Caenorhabditis elegans: one gene and its partners. The protein of the gene in region 4 interacts with the protein of the main gene of each other region in a pairwise test. Each region holds a gene or a part of one and is shown on either strand. Other genes may lie near its edges. The genes, in order: aptf-2, gla-3, egl-43 and sma-9.

The links.
Region 1: the proteins of sma-9 (region 4) and aptf-2 interact in a two-hybrid assay, tested with the Caenorhabditis elegans proteins (one large-scale study listed by BioGRID).
Region 2: the proteins of sma-9 (region 4) and gla-3 interact in a two-hybrid assay, tested with the Caenorhabditis elegans proteins (one large-scale study listed by BioGRID).
Region 3: the proteins of sma-9 (region 4) and egl-43 interact in a two-hybrid assay, tested with the Caenorhabditis elegans proteins (one large-scale study listed by BioGRID).

The regions. Positions count from the first base shown.
Region 1 is NC_003282.8:13,413,025-13,417,855, forward strand, and holds aptf-2 (Transcription factor aptf-2), read right to left. Parts: upstream 3,028-4,831; 5' UTR 2,931-3,027; coding exon 2,919-2,930; intron 1,848-2,918; coding exon 1,356-1,847; intron 1,308-1,355; coding exon 964-1,307; intron 908-963; coding exon 652-907; 3' UTR 536-651; downstream 1-535. Other genes in the region: Pelle-like serine/threonine-protein kinase pik-1, read left to right, coding at 3,773-3,884, 4,769-4,831. UniProt on the Caenorhabditis elegans protein: Sequence-specific DNA-binding protein that interacts with enhancer elements to regulate transcription of selected genes. Required for neuroblast and epidermal morphogenesis, perhaps acting in cooperation with transcription factor aptf-4.
Region 2 is NC_003279.8:8,213,035-8,218,088, reverse strand, and holds gla-3 (C3H1-type domain-containing protein), read right to left. Parts: upstream 3,392-5,054; coding exon 3,341-3,391; intron 3,296-3,340; coding exon 3,134-3,295; intron 3,060-3,133; coding exon of another isoform or gene 3,054-3,059; coding exon 2,961-3,053; intron 2,915-2,960; coding exon 2,579-2,914; intron 2,522-2,578; coding exon 2,401-2,521; intron 2,055-2,400; coding exon 1,702-2,054; intron 1,627-1,701; coding exon 1,551-1,626; intron 1,491-1,550; coding exon 1,032-1,490; intron 960-1,031; coding exon 711-959; intron 656-710; coding exon 516-655; downstream 1-515. Other genes in the region: Protein dhs-3, read left to right, coding at 1-74, 3,906-4,023, 4,814-4,887, 4,933-5,028.
Region 3 is NC_003280.10:9,953,262-9,958,192, forward strand, and holds the start of egl-43 (Zinc finger protein egl-43), read left to right. Parts: upstream 1-1,923; 5' UTR 1,924-1,924; coding exon 1,925-2,044; intron 2,045-3,749; exon of another isoform or gene 3,750-3,751; coding exon 3,752-3,853; intron 3,854-3,908; coding exon 3,909-4,039; exon of another isoform or gene 4,040-4,086; intron 4,087-4,931. UniProt on the Caenorhabditis elegans protein: Probable transcription factor, required for migration of the hermaphrodite-specific motor neurons (HSNs) from the tail to the gonad primordium during HSN cell differentiation. Required for phasmid neuron development.
Region 4 is NC_003284.9:10,771,453-10,776,142, reverse strand, and holds the start of sma-9 (Transcription factor sma-9), read right to left. Parts: upstream 3,053-4,690; coding exon 2,489-3,052; intron 2,437-2,488; coding exon 2,281-2,436; intron 2,213-2,280; coding exon 1,675-2,212; intron 1,251-1,674; coding exon 799-1,250; intron 614-798; coding exon 538-613; intron 314-537; coding exon 1-313. UniProt on the Caenorhabditis elegans protein: Transcription factor, probably acting as a transcriptional activator and repressor, involved in the TGF-beta-like dbl-1 signaling pathway.

The DNA of each region.
Region 1 (4,831 bases), on a different chromosome or scaffold from region 4:
GCTGACGTCACATTTTTTGACCAAAAAATTCCCGCATTTTTGTAGATCAAACCGATTTATTAATATTACTGTCTTGTATAAATGTAAGGGGGAAAAGGCAACATATGGTTAAGCCGTCGGCAACGACGCAAACAAATGGTCAGTTGAGAAAGTGTTTGAACACGAGAGATTACGCCTTCTGGAGACGCAGACGCGCAAGCGCACATTGCCACAGGGTCAATAAATGTTTTCACGTGAGGAACGGGGGTAAAGAAATTCCTAATTTTCAGTTTTGGAATATGTATCATTAAAAATTATTTTCATGTTGCTAGTACGTCTTATAGAGAAGCTTCGAATTCATTTTATACATTTGAATAATAATGAATTTTTCAAAGTTTTACACATCAAAATGATCAAAATGATGTGTAAAACCTATAAAATTCAATATTATTCAAATGTATAAAGTGAATTCGAAGCTACTCTATAAGACGTACTAGCAATATGAAAATCATTTTTAATGATGCATTTCCTAGTACTAAGGAACATCGTATGAGGATTTAAATAAATAAAAAGTTTCATTGAAATTAAGTGAAAACATCATAGAGATCATGGAAAATAAGTGAGACCTTGGTAATCAGATTGTTTTAAATATCAGAATATGAAAATATGAATTTATGCTTTCAATTCCTCTGGCTTTGATTCAGTTGGCGTCTCTGTCAAGCGTCGAAGTTCAGATGCGACTCCATTTCCGATTGCAGTCAATTGGGGGAGCCAAACCCGTTGAGACACGATTCCAAGTCCATGTGAAGCTGATGAAAAGGTCTCCATTCCATTGTTCAGTCGCATGTTGTTCGACGGTTTTGGCTCGATTCCAGTGATCGGAGGGACGACTGATGTGAAAACTGATTCAAGTGCTGACATACATTCTCTGAAATATTTGGAATTTGGCGTCAGAATTGAGAAATTGGAATATAGTCAACTTACGTGAAATCCTTATCATTCATCAACGCATCCAGATCTGCATCCTCGTCAGCCAATGCTTCATGAGCAACTTCTTGAATTATATCTTGAACTGGATAATCATCTCGTACAGCTGTTCCAAGATCAAGTCCCAAATGAACAGCTTCCGCTTCGACCAAAGCGATCACTTTGTTGGGAAAAGCCTTCTGTTTCGCATTCAGTTGAACCTTGATTCCATGATCTCTCAGTTGAGCGCGCATCAGTTCACCTCCATTCTTCAGTTTTGGCCTTTTAAGATTGCATGCGATACTCGAACTATTGAGCTTCTCCGGACTTTGCAATCTTCGTCTCATTTCCTCGACTGTGACCTGGAAGATTATTTAAATTTTAATATTGAACTTCTACCGTAAACGTACAAAATAACATGTCTGATTCTGTCCCATAGATAGTCTTCCATGAACCACATCAAATGCCTGATCTTTCGGACTTTCCAGTTCAAATCCACTCGGAACTGCATTCTCAATAACCGGAGTCAAATTAATGTTTTTTCGAACATTATTGCTCATTTTCGGAGGCGGCTTGAAAGTGCTCGGGTCCTGTTCAGTGACCGGATTCGGGTTGAGAAGACCCGCCAGCTTAATCGCAAATTGTGCCTCCTCGGAGAGCATCGGTGCGTATTCGAAAGGTCCACGTGGTGGTTGCAACTTTGCATCATCAGACGTGATTTTTCCTTTTAAAAGTTGTGCCAAAAGGGAGTTGTCTTCTTGCTCGGCAACGGCGGGTTGGGTAGAGCACTCTGCAGAGCTTGAAGGGCCAGTCTCTTTTGTGGCGGGTACTGTAGGTACTGTAGGTTCCACAGGTCCCACCACGGGTTCCGTTGGAACAGTAGAGTTGAGCGTGGTGAACATCTGAAAAAGTAATAAATGAATAAATTAAAATACGCGAATGGATTCAAAAGCAGACAATATAAATTTACAGAGTTTAACAAAAAAGTTGATTGTGACGAATTTTCGCTTCTTCATAATATCCTTTTTTGAATAATTTGAATTTCCGCACTTTAGCCACTTAACCACGCCCATTTTTCTGTGCCGCACTTTGGTTTTTTTTATCAATTTCGGCAGAAAGTTGAAAAATTCGTCAGAAATTAACTGTATTTCTAAAACTTAATTTTGTGGGATTTCAGCATTTGGATCCATTTGAATATTTTAAAGATGGGGTACCGAAATCTGAACCCTTGCTTTTTTAGACCCAAAATGACTCAAAACTACCGAATTGTGTAATGAGACGTTTTGGAAATTTCTCAAAAAAAAAAGTTATGGTGGCTCAAAGTTCTGGAAAGAAGGCTAATTTTCAGCTAAAATCAACATTTTTGTCTAATTCTCGGTGTCGCAGCGTCTGGAACTTAATTTTGATTCAATTATCACTTTTTAAAGAATATTTTTGTTTTTTATTAGGCGTTTATTCGTTGATTTAAGTACATTTATTGTCAGTGGGGCACAAAAATGTAACTTTTATTTGTGTCCCACTTACCGAAAATATGTTTAAATCAACGAATAAACGCTTAATAGAAGACCGCAATAGTCTTTAAATAGTGATAATTACATAAAAATGATGTTCCAGACGCTGTGACACCGAGAAGTTGACCAAAATTTTGATTTTAGCTGAAAATGTGCCATTTTTCCAGAACCTTCAACTGCCATAACTTTTTTTTGAGAAATTTTCAAAACGTCCCATTACCAATTCGGTATTTTTGGGCTATTTTGGGTGTAAAAAACAAAGTCTCAGATTTCGGTACTCCAGCTTGAAAGTAAAATTGTTATTGCCAGACCTCCAAATTATGGAAAAAAAGCAAAAAAAAAGCTGAAAAAAAGGGAAGAAAGAAATGACATTAATAAGGTAGATCGAATGCCTTCTACAATATTTGACCTCATTGGTTGTAAATCGTTTATGGTGTGGAGATCAAATCTGTGCGCGCTCACCTGTATATCCATTCTTTTATTATTGATCTACTCTTCCAGTGTTGCAAAAACATCTGTTTTCTAGGTGACATCTCCAGAAGAATGTGCCAAGTAATGGAATGGAAGAGAGAGAAAATGTAGAGAGAGGGAGAGGGATGAGACGACGAGAGGAAGTGACGACACTCCGCTTTCCTCCGCTTTTGGATTTATTGGAATTTCAGAATTGTTCGTTTTATAAGTTTAATTAAATATTAAATTTTAATTTTAATTTAAAATATTTTTATTTTTAAAAATATAATAAAAACACATTCAAAACATTCTATACATTTTTTCAAAAAACCAATCAAAGGAGGAGTTTTATTGCTTTATTATACTCAAAAAGGCCCGAATACCCCGAATTTTATAACGAGAAAAAAATTAATTTCGAAGAAAAAATAGAATTTTCCCAATTTTTCGTTACACAACGGTTAGAAATTGATTTTTATTTGATTTTTCTTCTATTTTGAATATTTTTATTGGTTTTCTTGCGTTGTTTCGTTAATTTATCATCTAAAATTTTAATTTTTAAATCCAAACTATTAAATCAACAAAAAAACAGAAGATAAATAGGAAAATGAGCAAAATAGGGCAATAGTCAGATAAAAATCAATTTCCGATCGCTGTGAAACGGAAAAGTTGGTGAAATTGGAGATTTTAGCGGAAATAAACCTTTTAAAAGCATTTTTGAACAGTCTTGTTATGAAATTCGATATTTTGGGACCATTTTTAGTTTAATAAAGCAAAATAATTTTTGATTAGCTACTCTTTTAAAATTAAACTTGTTAAAATTGTTTAAATACATATTTTTAAAAATAATCTGGAATTTTTCAGAGACAATGGATGATTCTCTTGGAGTATCAGAAGTTGTAATGATTCCATTCATGAAACGAGAAGTTCTCCAGCAAATATGTGCGATTTTAGATACGGATAACACTTGGGAGACGATTGGTTCGGACTTTTTTATAACAAATCATTGAAATTTCGCGGTTTTTGCTCCAAAAATAGGGTCTCGAAACGACAAATTTTTGTTATATGCGAAACGGTGTGCGCCTTTAATTCTTAAAGCACTTTAAAGAATAGTTATTTCAAACATTCGAATCTGCGGATTTTTCATCGAATTTTTTTATAGTTTTCCTTTAAAGGTGGTGTAGTCGAATTTTTGTTATTGCTTTATTAGACTCAAAATTGTCTGAAAACACCGAATTTCTTAATAAAACTTCTAAAAAAAGTTATGACAGCTTAAAAAATGGCCTAAAATAAGTTAAAATTTGAAATTTGACCGACTTGTAAAGCGGCTGGAAACGAACTTTTTTGAAATCACCGTCTAATTGTAGGTATACCAGTTAATTATCTTGCGTTTTCAACTTGATTTAAGTATTTTAAAGTCTATGGACGACGAGATTTTTAACAATTTTTTTAAACCAAATCTCGCCGTCCATCGACTTTAAAATACCTAATTGTAAAGTAGTAGTCGAAAACGCAAGTTAATTGACATGTATACTCAAAATTTGACGGTGATTTCAAAAAAATTGTTTCCAGCCGCTTTACAAGTCGGTCAAATTTCAAATTTTAACAAATTTTAGGTCATTTTTTGAGCTGTCATAACTATTTTTTGAGAAGTTTTCAAAAAGTTTCATTATGAAATTCGGTGTTTTCAGATAGTTTTGAGTCTAATAAAGCAATAACAAAAATTCGACTACACCACTTTTAAAGGCGCACACATTTTCGCATTTAACAAAACAATTGTCGCGTCGAGACCTAGACAGAGAAATCACAAAATTTCACGTCTGGGGAATATAAATAGCAAAGTGTTCAAATATCCATAATTTCAGCACCTTACATGCCCGGAATTGAGTTGAGAGATGTTGAAGGTTGCAAGAGATATTCAAGTTATA
Region 2 (5,054 bases), on a different chromosome or scaffold from region 4:
GATTAGTGTTATGGGATATAAACGAGCAAGGAAACAAAGAAACACTCAAAGAATTGGAAGCGATGGGAGTTGAGGTTTGGACTTGCAACATTTTTCACATTTATAGATTTATTAGATGAATGTTCGCTAAAACTTACTACAACTACAGCTAACTATTACTATTACAAAGCTAGTGTCAAGAGCGGCGCGGGCTCGTTAGAAATAATGAAAACAAGTGTAAATGGAACAAAAAGTGAAGAAAAATACAAAATTTAAATTATGAATATCGTACTTTTGTGGATGGTATCCGTATCACTTGAGGAAAACAAGATTATGTGGGTGGGAAAAAGCTGGAAGTATCCATATCCTCTACAAGAAACCCTAAATACATACAAAAAACTAAAGAAGAGCTGCGAGTAGAACAAAAATTACGATGAAAAAGGACAAAATGATAAAGTATAAAATTTAGAAACTGAATTGGGTGAGAAATGAGAAAATGATTACAATAATGGGCTTTAAAATCATCGCTGGTCCTCCTAAATCGAGTGACTCTGATGACAGGCGTCACCGAAGGGGCACGATCCGGTGGCTGCAAAAAAATCGCAAGGTTCCAGGAATGAAGGCGTCTGGCCGGCCGATGATGACGGAGTGAAAAGGCTTTTCGATCCTGAGCCGTCTAAAAAATAGCCGATATATTGGAGGTTCTACTCAAATACTAAAAAAAATTTTACCGTAGTTTGGTGTCTTTTCATCTACGAAAAAGAACATTGGAGAGCAGGTCATCTTGCTTGATGTTGTAGTTGAACATTCGGAAGATTGCAGTGGCTCCTTGAGAGTTTCGGCGATTTTTAGAGTATCAAAATCGAACATAGAACACTTTGGTTTTTCGGTTGCTACTTGATCGAGCAGATTCTCGTTGCTCAATAGTTCCATCAAAGACATCACGACAGGACTTGAGCTTTCGCTGGAGCTTAGTTTATCTGAAATTGATGGATATTCAGAACTATAAATTTTTATAGAAATTTTTCGAGTAAATTAACCAATAAACATACCATCTCGATCGCCTTGTCTCACAAAATCATTAGCCATCATCATTTCCTCGTCTGTAATTGGATACTTGTCTGATCGAAGAGCATCCATTTTTGTGAGCAGACTTGCCGCAGAACTCGATTCGTTGATCGTCGCAGCTCCGCGAGTTCGTGTCATGGCTCCGGACTGTTTTTTCGGCTTCGGCTCGAGCCAAATCGAAAACGAGTCATCAGGTGGGAGCAAGGACTCCGAGATCTCCGGTGGTGAGAGAAGAGCCGCAAACGGATGTTGAGGTCCCTGTTGATGCGAATAACGGTATTGCTGAGCAGCATGATGCAGATATTGCTGATGCTGGTGTAGCTGATGTTGTGACTGATGATGATGATGGATTGGATGTTGATGTGGGGGACGATGACGTCCTGGCATGAAATTTGATAAACGATTTCCAGTTCCATGGTAATGACAGTCCGAAGTATTTGGTTCTAAAATGTATGCAATAGTTCGATCAATTTTCCTATTTATTTGGTTGATTTCAATCTTACCGTTTCCTGCAAGTCGTGGATGGTATGGTGGGGTCATAGGAGCATTGAAGTGATGACCATTACTCATTTGATCACTCTGAACAAAAATTGTTTGAATTTTTTTAAATCTAAAAGAAATTGTGAAAAAAGAAAAACCTGAGACACCACTCACCGAAGTTTGCCTAGACACGTCACGCTCGTTGATATATCCTCGCTCTATCATAAAACGAAGGTAGTTCAAATCTTTCATTTTCAGTTTAGACAAAAGTCGATCCATTTCCGAATTTTTCTGTTGAGTCGGTTGACGATCATTGGGTCCAACTCTCTGTCCGCCTATCTCTATGTCCTTCTGACGTTGATAGATTTCACCAGCAACATTCCAAATCGCTTGTTGAAATTGCGGAGGGGGACCGCCGACCTCTCGTGAAGTACGAACATTGGATCTTGATCTTTGGTGCTGTGGTGGGATATGGTATGCTCCAGATCCCAAACGATTCGGATCTTGACCAGGGATGTTGACTGGCCCTGTAACAATGAATTTTGATTTAAAAAATCTCTGAAGAAAAACTTGTCGTAATTTCACTAGAATTTGACATGTTTTCTTGAAGGCGCACGGATTCATTCAGGGTCTCGACGTATAAAAAGTTTATGATAGTCTTTTTTAATTTATACTCCAAAAACTGATTTAAACTAATTTTAGCAAAAAAAATGAATAGAAAACGATAAAGATTGATAAAAACTAAGTCATTGTTTTGAAAAATTCAAGAAAACGAGAAATCAGCCGCAACAATTCAAAAAGACTACCATAAAAATTTCAGCGGGCTGAGACTCATTTCATTAAATTCGAGAAAACCTCGTGAAATCTCTATACCTCCAAATTGTTGAGAAGGAACCCCTTGCGTAGCACGATTCGAGGAACGTTGATGGTGTCCATGAGATGGAAATCCAGCTGAGAACATTGACTGTTGCGGGTATGGGAACGGATTCGGAGACTGAAAACAAGTTGTTCAGTTTCAACCGAAAGTTATTCTTGAAGTTACAAAACTAACCAAAAATCCGTAATCGTCAATATCATCGTCACGAGAACATATTTCATGCTTCTTTTCCTGTTCTTGCTCGACACCGTTTTTAGATAATGATGAAATCGCATCCTTCTCTGCAGCTGAGCTGGTTGGTGGTGGTACAGCTCCAATTGACATGGAAATCCATCTTTCCTGAGCTGGAGATAACGGCATCGAAGAGTTTTGTTCTTTGAAGGCAGTATTCGATGGAATATTCACTGTTAATCCTTTGACGTTGGTTGATGCACGCTTTGTCGGCGACTTTTGAATTTCAGCAGTAGCCGGTCGCTCATTCTCTTCTTCGTTCGAACGATCAATCCGGACCTGAAAAACCAGATTTCTTTGATGTTTCCTACGCTGCTTAACTGACCACTTTACGAAGATCGTCTTCACCGTGAGCATACCAGCACGCGTCGCCATACGAACAGCTGCCCGAGCGTCGCCAGTGATCGCAAATCTTTGTCTGAAACTACAAGGAATGAGTAGATCTTAATTAAAATATTGAAGTGTTAAGAAATTAAAACGTTTTTCCAAAAATAGAACCTTCCTTAATGCGGGGTTATGCTCTCGATTGGAGGTAAAATTTTGATGTTGCCAAAAACATTGAGAAGAATCTTGATACACCGTGTAGTTCCCTAGACTTTCTAAATTTCTGACTGGATCCATATCTGAGTTCAATAGAGGCTGAGGTTGAAAAGAAAACCCCTGAATTTTATTATAAACCAAAAATACACTTTTTCCGAAAATTACCGGCGGAGCAGGAGTAAGTCGACTTTTTAACAAAGATGGTTGATAAAGCATGGTTGGGTGAGTAGGATGGAGAAAATAAAATGTTTTATTAAACACTAATTTCTAGTTATTTTTTTAGCTTTAGTTTTTTCCTCTACCCCCTTCTGCTCTAGTTTCTCACGAACTACCGCTTTTCTGATCTTACTTTCGGTTTTGGGCCGTTTGGTTTATTGCCGTTGGTGCTGTTTGTAAGCGCATCACGGGGATCTATGACGACGCTGAAAATTTTGTTTTTAGCAATTAGTTATTCATACGAAGAATATACCTTATTTCCTGAGTTTTTGACGCAGAGCTACTCATCTATTTACAGAAAAATACGATTTAGAATCTGAAAATGGCTTTTTTAAAAATATTTTACTCAAAAATGGGAAACAAAGAGAAGTTGAATAAATTTAGGTAAGCAAATGAGAAAAAGTACAAATTCAAATGACACGCTAAACAACGCGCGATCGTCATTTCGGAGTGTCGTTGTGCGTTTCTCTGCGTCTCTGCGATTTGTATACTGTTTCATTTCTATATCTTTCAGGCTAAAGCATACACAGTGGACCTATCGGAATACAAAGAAATCAATAGAACCGCCGATTTGGTTAAAAGTGAAGTAGGGAAAGTAGATATTCTCGTGAACAACGCTGGAATTGTGACGGGTAAGTACAGTCGGCTGAAAACATCCAAACTTCTGAAAAATTCATGTACAATACAAAAACACAGTAAATAATAATTTTGTTCCTTATAGAGTTAATTTTTTCCTGTAGAAGACACGAGACCCGAAGAACTCGGGGGATGTCCAATTGGGGGGATTACCAACTCGGGGATTGGCCCCGCCCACAGAACCGTGGCTTGCAATACGCCCATTTCTGCAACTGCCGCACGGTTTTGAAACTGTATTTTTCTTGTTAAATCTCGCTCTATTGAGAAAAATACAGTTTCGAAACCGTGCGGCAGTTGCAGAAATGGGCGTATTGCAAGCCACGGTTCTGTGGGCGGGGCCAATCCCCGAGTTGGTAATCCCCCCAATTGGACATCCCCCGAGTTCTTCGGGTCTCGAAGACACAATGAAGAGTCGCAATACACATGGTATTAATTAAATGAATTTGAATGGCGCGGCGGGACCCACTGGCAAAAAAGCACATCCCTTGCTAATTGCATACTGTAGAGATTTAGAAACATACGAAGTTTAGCGTATTACATATTTTTCATTTTAAGCGAAATATGCCAGATAAAGAGAGAAAACAAAAATCAATAAAATAAATAAAATGATAAGACTTTCGAAAAGGTTCAGTGAACCCATTGTTACTTCACACAAAAATTACAGTAGTAATTTGAAGAATTACTGTAGTTTTCGCTACGAGATATTTTGCGCGTCTGATATGTTGCGCAATACGCATTCTCAGAAATTAGTATTCCCATAATATCTTTTCATAAAAACATTTCAAGGAAAAAAGTTGCTGCAATGTCCAGATGAGCTGATGGTCAAGACTGTTTCAGTTAACACAAATGCTTTGTTCTTTGTAAGATATGACTTTTGTTGAAAAGAGAATACCGAAATTTTCCAGACTACCAAAAATTTCCTTCCCGGCATGCTCGAGTCGAATAAAGGGCATATTGTAACAATTGCTTCAATGGCTGGAAAGTGTGGTGTTGCTGGATTGGTAAGTGATTTAAAACAAAATGTTGA
Region 3 (4,931 bases), on a different chromosome or scaffold from region 4:
TGTGAACTTCAAGCACCGAACTTCACGTTAAAATTCAAAAGAATAGACAGTAGGCAGCCTACCTTTTGGAAAATTCTCTGGAAAAATCGTCTTCACAAAATTTCCAAACTATCTGATAACACTCATTCGATGGGAAATTGTCACTTACGCGAGGTTTTTTTTGCCTCCGATTCAGAAAAAAAGTTCCATTTTTTGTTATCATATCATTATTATCAGTTCTAATGGCACATCATGTGTCAAGTGATGAGCACCATAACTTTAAATTTTCAAGGTTTTCGAAATATTTTACTCTTGTTCAACAATTCTTCATTTCAAAATGTGACCGTTTTCTTTCTACACTTATGACACTTTTAATACTGTATCACTTGAATGTCTCTAACTTTTTTTCCATTTTCCTCACAACTTTTCCATTCTTCTATTTTTCTGTAGAATGGACGAGCCCACCTTTTATTACTCCTATATAAAAGCTCTTCTCGGTGCGCTCACCTGGAGCTATGAGGAGAAGAAAAACGGAAAGAATAGAAGAAAAGAAGCGGCAATTTTGTCCCGTCCCTTCTTCCAAAAAGATGAGGACCATGAAGAAGAAAAGCGCAGCACATCCGTCAGAAGAAGACCACAATTGGTGGAGGGGCACACCTCTACTTTAAAATAGCTCCCATTTGCTCGCTTTTACTGGAAACTCTGGGGTCACTGATTTTTTGGATGGTTCTAGACTGTCCTCAAATGTATAATTTCAAAGCTGCGGCAAACTGCTACACCCTGTTGTATTTTCCGTCCAGCAATTTACTTCCAAAAATTCAAACTAAGTCAATAGTTGTTATAGTTTTTAAGTTGGTCTTTGATTATTGAGCAGTTCGGTAAACTCGCAGCCGACCTCGATGGAGTCTCGCGATAGCCTACTCCTGGAAAAAACGTTTGTCTTCTGCTTTCACCTCATGATATCAGGAAACTTATTACAGACATTCAGCCGACAAATAAACGGCTTGGCTTCTACTAGAAATGCTCAATAGATTCTAATTTAGTAGGTGTAGATATTTTCACTTTTGTTTATTTTTCTAAGTATCGAAGTACATATGTTAGAAAGTAAATAAAAATTGCTATTCTACTTTAAGAATTTTCTATATTAAAATAGTCTTTAGTAACGTGGGGTTTTCGAAACTTGCAACTTTTCAAGTGAAGATGCTCCTCACCTGAAGCATCCTGTCACTCTACCGATTGGCTGATGGGCGTGTCGTCTTCCATCTCTTCCACCCGCCCACTTTTTGAGACAGGAGAGGCTCTCGCTCCTCTCGCATCCACAAATGGAAGGCGCCTCTTTCCATCTTCCTTTCTTTTTTTTCTGGTTAGTTGAAGTATCCTTAAAGTATCTTGACGTTTTTACTATATATGACTTCTGGAGAGACATTCGAGTTTTTGGATCAAATATAGAATGTCAAATTTTGAAGAGCAATCTTCTCATATGTCAATTTTTCAATAAAATTGTATCCTACATTGTGGTGGTGTAGAACCCTCAAAAAATAATCTCTAAATTAAGAATTTCTTGATTTTAAAACTGACTAGCAAATTTGTCATGAAAAATCTCAAACGAATTTCCTACAGTTCATCTACCAAATGAATTGGGCTTGTAAACTTTTTCACCATCTACTAAAAAATTCAATAAAATAATAATCTCTTCCCAAACTACACCTCCCTCCAATATCTCTCAGCTTACTCCTAACTCCTATCCCAAATTCGTACATCTACCGTACCATTCCTCCTCCCTGTTCGTTCTCAATGACAAAGCCAGCCTTGAACAGCCATATCCAACTTTTTCGTTGCATTGTTCTCGTTCACAAGATGTATTACTCATCTTTCGCCCCAAAACTGTTCTTGTAATTTGTACAGTTCTTGTTTCTTCCCACGTACAGTTTCCTAAGTTTTCAGGATGAGCATCGACACAGACTTCCTCACGAGTGTTGAGGTAAAGGAGGATGAGCTACATGGAAATGTGCTCATTGCAGTAACTCAAATTGCACTCGGAAGGACCATCGGTGTGATTGATAAGGTGAGCTTTTGGTGTACAATTTTTACGCCGTAGACATTGTCTTAGAGGTGTCCGCTAGAAAAAGAAGTATAAGCTTATTCCCGGGCGTCTAAAAAACTCCACCGGAAAAAATACAGGTCGCTTGAACTGAAATATCTTATAGCTTGAGTAACCTATGAAATAAGCTTTCAGATGTTACACTCATATTTTGTTAGTTAGTAGTTATATGATAACAGTAATTTTAGGTTGTAATTGATAAAATAATGACTTTTTTAAATTAACAAAACTTTTTTTAAAATATTTTTACAAGCATTTTAAATTGATACCTTGGTGCCTAATCTACCTAATCTACAGTACCTTCGCCAACATTTTCAAATCCTTTCCTAATGATTCAACGTTCGAATTACAAATTCTTCCCAGAACCCAAAACCGCAATTATCGGGACCCTGAAATGTTTGGCGCCATGTGTTCCTCCCTGCTTCTTCTCCTCAAAAATTCCTTACACCTGTCTTTCCACCTTTCCCGCTCCCCCCGTCCATTACCACTTTGTTAACCTTGGGGGCACACTAGTAACCATTACATTAGGATTTACAAATCGGAACACCTGGTGCCTTGGTGGATGGGGGATCCGAGATGGGAAAAGAGACTCGATGATCGACTGTAATTGATGAATACAGTCGCTGATGGGAAAATGGATAATTGCTAGGTTTCCATAGGAAGAAGAATTTGAGGAGCTCTATCAATAAAGGAGAGGGATTGAATCCGTTGATCAAGCCGTCAATTTCCTACTGTAGCTGTCGTCGTTATCCAACTTCGTCACAATTCCATCATTGAATTAGTGTATTTCCCCCAGTTGTTTATCATCTAGAGCCGGCGACGGGTCTCTCACACTGATTGGCTTATCACGCACGCACACCACATCAAGCGGCAGTCACTCAGAATCAGAAGCCACTGAAGAAAAAGTTCATCATCTTTTGCGAGAGAGCCACTGATTGCTTATGGTTGCTTGGTGAAGGCAAACCACCTGCTCTCACAGTGGGAAAATTAGATTCCAGAAGCGATAGAGAGAGCGACAGCTCCTGCTTCTTCTTATTAGATATTGATGGGTTTTTGGGCTGAAGCTCACGGAGCACAGAGAGTGGTGAGTTGGCCGAAATGAAATAAGATTTTTTCGAGAATGAGTTTAGAATGTGTGCGATTTGTGAAATAATTGAGGGAGGAAACCCAGTACGCCCAACAAAACCCTTGTTGAGGTACTAAACTGTTTCTGCGAAGATCTGTGGGAAAATATACAGAGATTGCAGGAAAAATAATGCAGTCTTGTAACTGGTGTCACACGGTGTGACGCGCGTGACGTCATCTTTTTCCAGTCCGCAATATATCAAATGAAGTGAAAACTTAAAATTTGGATATGCAGTTTTGAAGAACGCATCGCCAAATACAGGGATTCTTGAAACTTTAATTTTTTATAACTATTCGTGTCCATTTTTTGTAAAATTAAGTCCGAAGAGACATCACCGTTGTCTTACAAGCGGTCATAGAGAAACCTACCCAGCGTGCCAATCGTTTCTTTAATCCATGTTATCACGAGGCCGTCGAAGGTCACCTTTCAGGCAGGCATACATTTTTTTACTACGATTTATGTAGATCCTAGATTCTACACTCATCATTTAGAAAAAGTACTAAAAACAATCACTTACATTAATTTTATAAATATTATTATTTTAGGCTACACCGAATGATTCGAATGCTCTTCTCATCTTGAACCTGATTAAGGAAGCTGATGACGGAGAAGATGCCAATATTTGTATGAGGCAGGAGGATAGAAAGGTGATTATTAGATAAATTTAATGAGGAAGTTATCTAACTATAAGAAAAATTTCAGACTTTTCTACAAACCAGTAAGATTATCAATATTGGAGAGCGTCTTCTTCTACAAAGACTGTCCGAAGAGGAGTGTGATGAGGAGGATCAGGATGATCTTGAGAATTTAATTTTGTTAAAAGATGAAGATCGGTGAGTATGACCCTTGAAAGAAACAAGAAAAAGAGCATGCTAAAAAGGTATGATTTTTCTCACCTTTGAAATTGGAACGATAACTGAACAAGTTGCAAAAACTGTAATTTTCCGGAATTTTTTCTATGATTTGAAGTTCTGTGTTGCTATACATAGAAGGATGTTTGAATTACACATAAAACAATTTCTAAAAAGCAGATTGAGTATACCTTTAATTTTTGAGTTGTTGAGATCAGCGTTAAAAAATTTCAAACCGGTTTTGTCGGTCTTACACAGGCGAATATTCGAAAATAAATCTCGATTTCTAACGGAAAAGTAACGGAAGAAAGATGTGAATCTTCATGAAAATCTTCTGTCATTTTCTTCTCATCGTCCTACTTTCTAACTCCCGTCGTTTTCTCGATAGTTTTCACTGGCGCGGTGAAAGTAACGGATTTCCGATAAGAGCACATCCTTCAGCATCTCCAAGTGAAGCCCGCCCGCTTTTTTTGTGTCCCGTTCATTTACATATAGATTCTACCGCTTCTGGATGACAAATTCGTGTCGGTTTCCGGAGGAGCCCTTTTTTGGGTATTTGAGCCCCTCAAAGGAAATCGTTGATTTATTTTGAGGGGTGTGCATCGGGGGAAGGAAGCGGATCTAGATTTTGCATCTTTTTTGAGAATCAATCGTTTTTTTTGCGGAAAATATAAATTTTTATCTTTTTTTCCGAAATCTTTATATCGCTAACTTAATTTGTGTTATTACCATCTTTTCTATGTTTCTTAAATTTTTAGACGATGATTCCTTGGTATCCCAAAAGTTTAGGTTTCAATTTTTACGTTAGACCTTGAACTTGCCCGATTAGATTTGAAAAGTTTGGGTTAATTTTAATATTTAATAGATTTTTCTA
Region 4 (4,690 bases):
GTGTGACGACGCTTCAGAGCACTATGCGGGTTTCCTTCTTGTGCTATTTGTGCTTTTTCTAGCTCTTTTTTCTTTCCGCAAACAACTTCGTGAGCTTGGAGACCAGCTTCATTGGGAAACGTGAGTTTGCAGTATATACACTCCGGTGTGTAGTTAGGATCATTATGTGCCTGAATCGGACGAAGCAATGGCTGACCACTAGTCAAGCTGCCCATGAAATGTTTTGATCCACTAAGCTCGAATAAACTCTGGCTCCGACTAGCAGCTTGCAACATACGACTGTCTTTTGGCCCAGGCGAAGTTCTTGTTGATCCTGAAAAATATAAAACATTAAGGGACAAACGGGACAATCACAATATTCATCAATATATAATATGCAGATATGGACACGTGCAGACACGCACTGGCATGCAAATCGAGACGGTATAGCGGAAACGTTGGGGCGAGTAATAGAAGGAGACAATATCTTGTCTTGGGATAGAAGGACAAGGGTAATGGAGCGATGCTTTCAAGAAACTCAACCACACCACAACTCACCACCACTATTACTGTCGTGATCGACCGAGGATTGCGCACCTATTTGCCGATGGTATGGCCGCTTTTTGCGAATCACCTGTAAATGGACAGATTCGAAGACGTCAAACAGAAGGACAAATGAGATTTGAAATTATGAATAAAAACATGAAAGGTTTTGTTTTATTTTGGTCTGGTATTGTTTCCGTATCATTTCATCAAACTCCAGGGGGCGAATTATTCAAAAAAAGAAAACCCATCACGCTAGAAGAATTCGGCACTCACCGGGTCTCCTTGAAGAATGACTTCGTTCTCAGAGATGATTCGGCTGATGTGGTCCGACATCGACTCGTTGCCAGACGATGCGGCCTTCGACGAGGAAGGCTGCTCAAGTGGTTTGGAGAGCGAGGGGGCTAAAATCTGATGACTGCTTGTGGCAGATGCAGACGTAGATGTGGATGATGGATTCATGGAAGGGTTAGAATTTTGTTTCATAGGTGGCACAGCAACAGGCGTGCGGACTGCAGCCGGTGCCGTCGTTACCGCCACCGTAGACGGTACCGGCTGCTCTTCTCTCCTTGCAATACCAATTGGAGTTCCCATGGTGATACCACCTCGAGGAGCAGGCGTCGAAGAAATGAGCAACTGACGATGTTGTGCCTCGCGCGCCTGATTTTGCAGCATCCGCTGCTGTTGTTCGTTCAGCATTTGAGCCAACCTCTCTTCTTGTGACTCTGCTGAAGGGGAAAAATATTGGGTAAGCGTGTTTGAACAACCAATGGTTAGAAGGTGGTGCACAGAAAAAGAGAAGAAGATGATTCAGGAGAAAAGCTGAAGTAATGGTTACAAAAATCTCATTCTTTATCACTTTCTAATTATTGTTGGTTTACACACTATCTATTTGCATGCATATTTCAAAAAAAAACAAATGGAAACAAAATGTTCTATGATATTTTTGATGTCATATACGTATATCGGATAATTTTCAAAGAGTTGTGGTGTGGTTGTGTGGTTGAACGTATGTGGACTGGCAAAAAAGGGAAACGATGGAAAACGGGAAGGGAGAAACTGGGAAAACAGAGAAGGGAAACAGACACAGAGTTGTGAAGCGTGTGAACGTGAGAAAATGAAAACAGAGAAAAATACAAAATTTAAACGTACCGTTTGGGGTTCCATCGGCTCTTTGCTGCAGTTGCATAGACTGAATATATTGCAGTGCTTGAGAAACTGTTCTATTTTGAGACTGCCCTTGCTGTTGCTGTTGAGCCTGTTGAGCTAGTTGTGCTTGCTGAGCTTGTTGAGCTTGTTGAGCCTGAGCCTGTTGCTGTTGGAGAAGCAGTTGCTGTTGAAGCTGGGCTTGCATTGTCTGTGTAAGATCATTCAACTGTGGAGTTGAAGACAATGCAGGCGTCGATGCAACCGACGGGCGTTGTTGTGAAGCATTGTTCTGAGCCTGAGCTTGTTGGGCAGCCGCACGTTGCTGATGAAGCTGTTGCTGTTGTTGAAGAAATTGCTGCAGTTGTAACTGTTGTAATTGTTGTTGCTGCTGCGCCTGCTGCTGTGAAAGCTGCTGAGCTTGTTGCTGCTGCAATTGCTGTTGCTGCTGGAGTTGCGCCTGTACCTGGCTCTGTTGGGACGGCTGCATTTGTCTAGACTGGACATGCTGAGCTTGTTGAGCTTGTTGTTGGGCTTGTGAGATCTGAAGAAAAAAAAAATAAAATAACGCCAATTTCAAGTTATCAACATGCTATTTCTGTGTCAACTCACCTGTAGAACCTGTTGTAACTGTTGCTGCTGGAGCTGTTGTTGTTGAAGTTGTTGCTGTTGCAGTTGCTGCTGCTGAAGTTGTTGCTGCTGGAGCTGTTGTTGTTGAAACTGCTGTTGTTGAAGCTGCTGTTGCATGTGCAATATTTGAGCAAATTGCTTAAAATAAAAATCAAAGTTTCGAATTATCAATTTTGTACTAAACACAAACCTGTGGCGTGACTTGCTGTTGAATAGCTGCTAATTGAGCTTGTTGTTCTTGTTGCCGTGCCTGCGCCTGTTGCTGTGCCTGTTGCTGAGCCTGCTGCTCAGCTTGATGACGAGCTTGGGCTTGAGCTTGTTGTTCTGCCTGTTGTCGAGCTTGTTGCGCTTGTTGAGCTTGCTGAGCTTGTTGTGCCTGCTGTTGAGCTAATTGATGTTGCATAATTTGTTGTGGATTCTGAGTATCAGTCTGTTGCGCATTAAGTGCCTGTTGCATCAAAAGCATGTTAACTAAATTTTGTCCTTGTGGTGTTGACAAAGCTTGCAGTATCTGAGCATTCATTTGCAATTGCGGCTGGTTTTGTTGTGAAGCAACTTGTTGCTGTTGCTGCTGCGACTGTTGTTGCTGCTGGACGTGCTGCACTTGCTGTTGTTGCTGCGAAGCCTGCTGCTGCTGAGAAACACTTCCAGGTCCATTAGTCTGGAGCTGTGCTTGTAATAATCGTTGATGATTTAGCTGCTCACGTTGTACCTGCTGAAAGTTGTTCGAGATTCCAATTGCCTGATGGCTCATTCGCCAATTCTAAAACCACTTTTTAAGTTTGATTCATGTAAGTTAAGTTCATCGTAAAACAAAGTGAGATAAGGGGGAAAATGAGAGATGAAGACGTATTACAAAAAATAATGAGAAAGTGATTGGAACCATGTGACGTTCACATGAGACCATAATTAGCATGAAAGTTACTTGTCTACAGCAAACTGGGTACAAGGTTCACTTTTAATGATTCGGGGAAGAGTGGTCACGTTTTTTCTTCATTCCTATCAATTCAAACGTCGTTCTGATTTGATTCATACTGATTTCTCTAATATGTTTCATTACAATGAATGAAGGGGAATAAAAATAACAATTACTAAAACCGTTGCCAAATGTTTTTAAGACTGTATACAATGTCTTGAAATAAATCATTAATCAAAACAGAAGACAATATATTGTCGTTCATTCTTTTTCTATTCATATCAAATCAAGACGCAAATTGCCTCACTTTGACTCCTGCAACAGATTGGAGGCTCTCATGAATGCAGTTCAGTCTTCGAAACGGTTACCCATTACTCGCGCAATCTTTTCACTCACACTATCACAATTTAAAAAAACGGGAAAAGAGTACGTCACCTCAATTCTTCGTCACCTTATCACAGATTTGCAGCTCTTGAAAATGTTCAACACTTCTTTGTAACTTGTGATTGTGATCGATTAGTATTCTATGAGACTAAAAGAGTGTGTGACATACACATTTGCTGCTCTCTGTCCTTTTCTCTCTCTTTCTTTCTTTTTCTCACTCAATGTTCATTGACTTTTCCCGTTATCATTACCGGGAGACCGGCTGTTGGCCAAGTGATCAATGACTCTATGGGTGCTAAACAGGGCGCGAATGATTTGAGAGGGACATTGGAAAAAGAAGATAGAGTGGACTATTGTGAAATAACAAAATGCAAGAGAAGTAGAGAAATGGGAAGAAAAGTTACCAAAAAAAGTGAGTGTGGTTGGTTGATGGCAAAATTTCGTACAATTAAAATATTAAGAGGACAATCAGGGCACCAAATTGTGGTGGATAACTACTGTATTACTTTAGTTTTATCAAAACTGATATTAATGGAAAACAAAATTATTTATTACATATAAATTTAACTAAACACTTGGAGCATCAGGTTTAAAAAAATAGTTTTGATATGCAGAAAATGACTAAATACATTTGAAATTTGAATGTTTTCTAGTTGCTTTCGTTAACAAAAAATCAAAGCCAAAAACTATGTCTATTAAAGCTAGAAAATGGTTATTTTTCAGTCAAAAACTCCTTTTTTAATTCAAGTTGTATACTGTAGTTCATTTATGTAGTCTGTTTTTCTCAATAATTCAAATGACTAAAATAGATGTATCTGGTAGCTGCAAATATTTATTTCACAGTTCTGCTGTTTTTTTTTTAATTTTTCGCCAAGAAAACTTCAAGATTTAAATTTTTCTGCACTCAAATAAGCTAAACCTCACCAATTACGGTACTCTATTAACAAGTTTTCATGATTAATATCTTTATTTTCTCTATCTCTTCGGAAACAAATCATTCAAATCTTGTAAAAAGCGTGTAAAAAGTAAAAGACATTTGTGATAAAGAGAAAAAACACTCATTGGCTCAGAAGAGATGCTTGAGCCTTGACA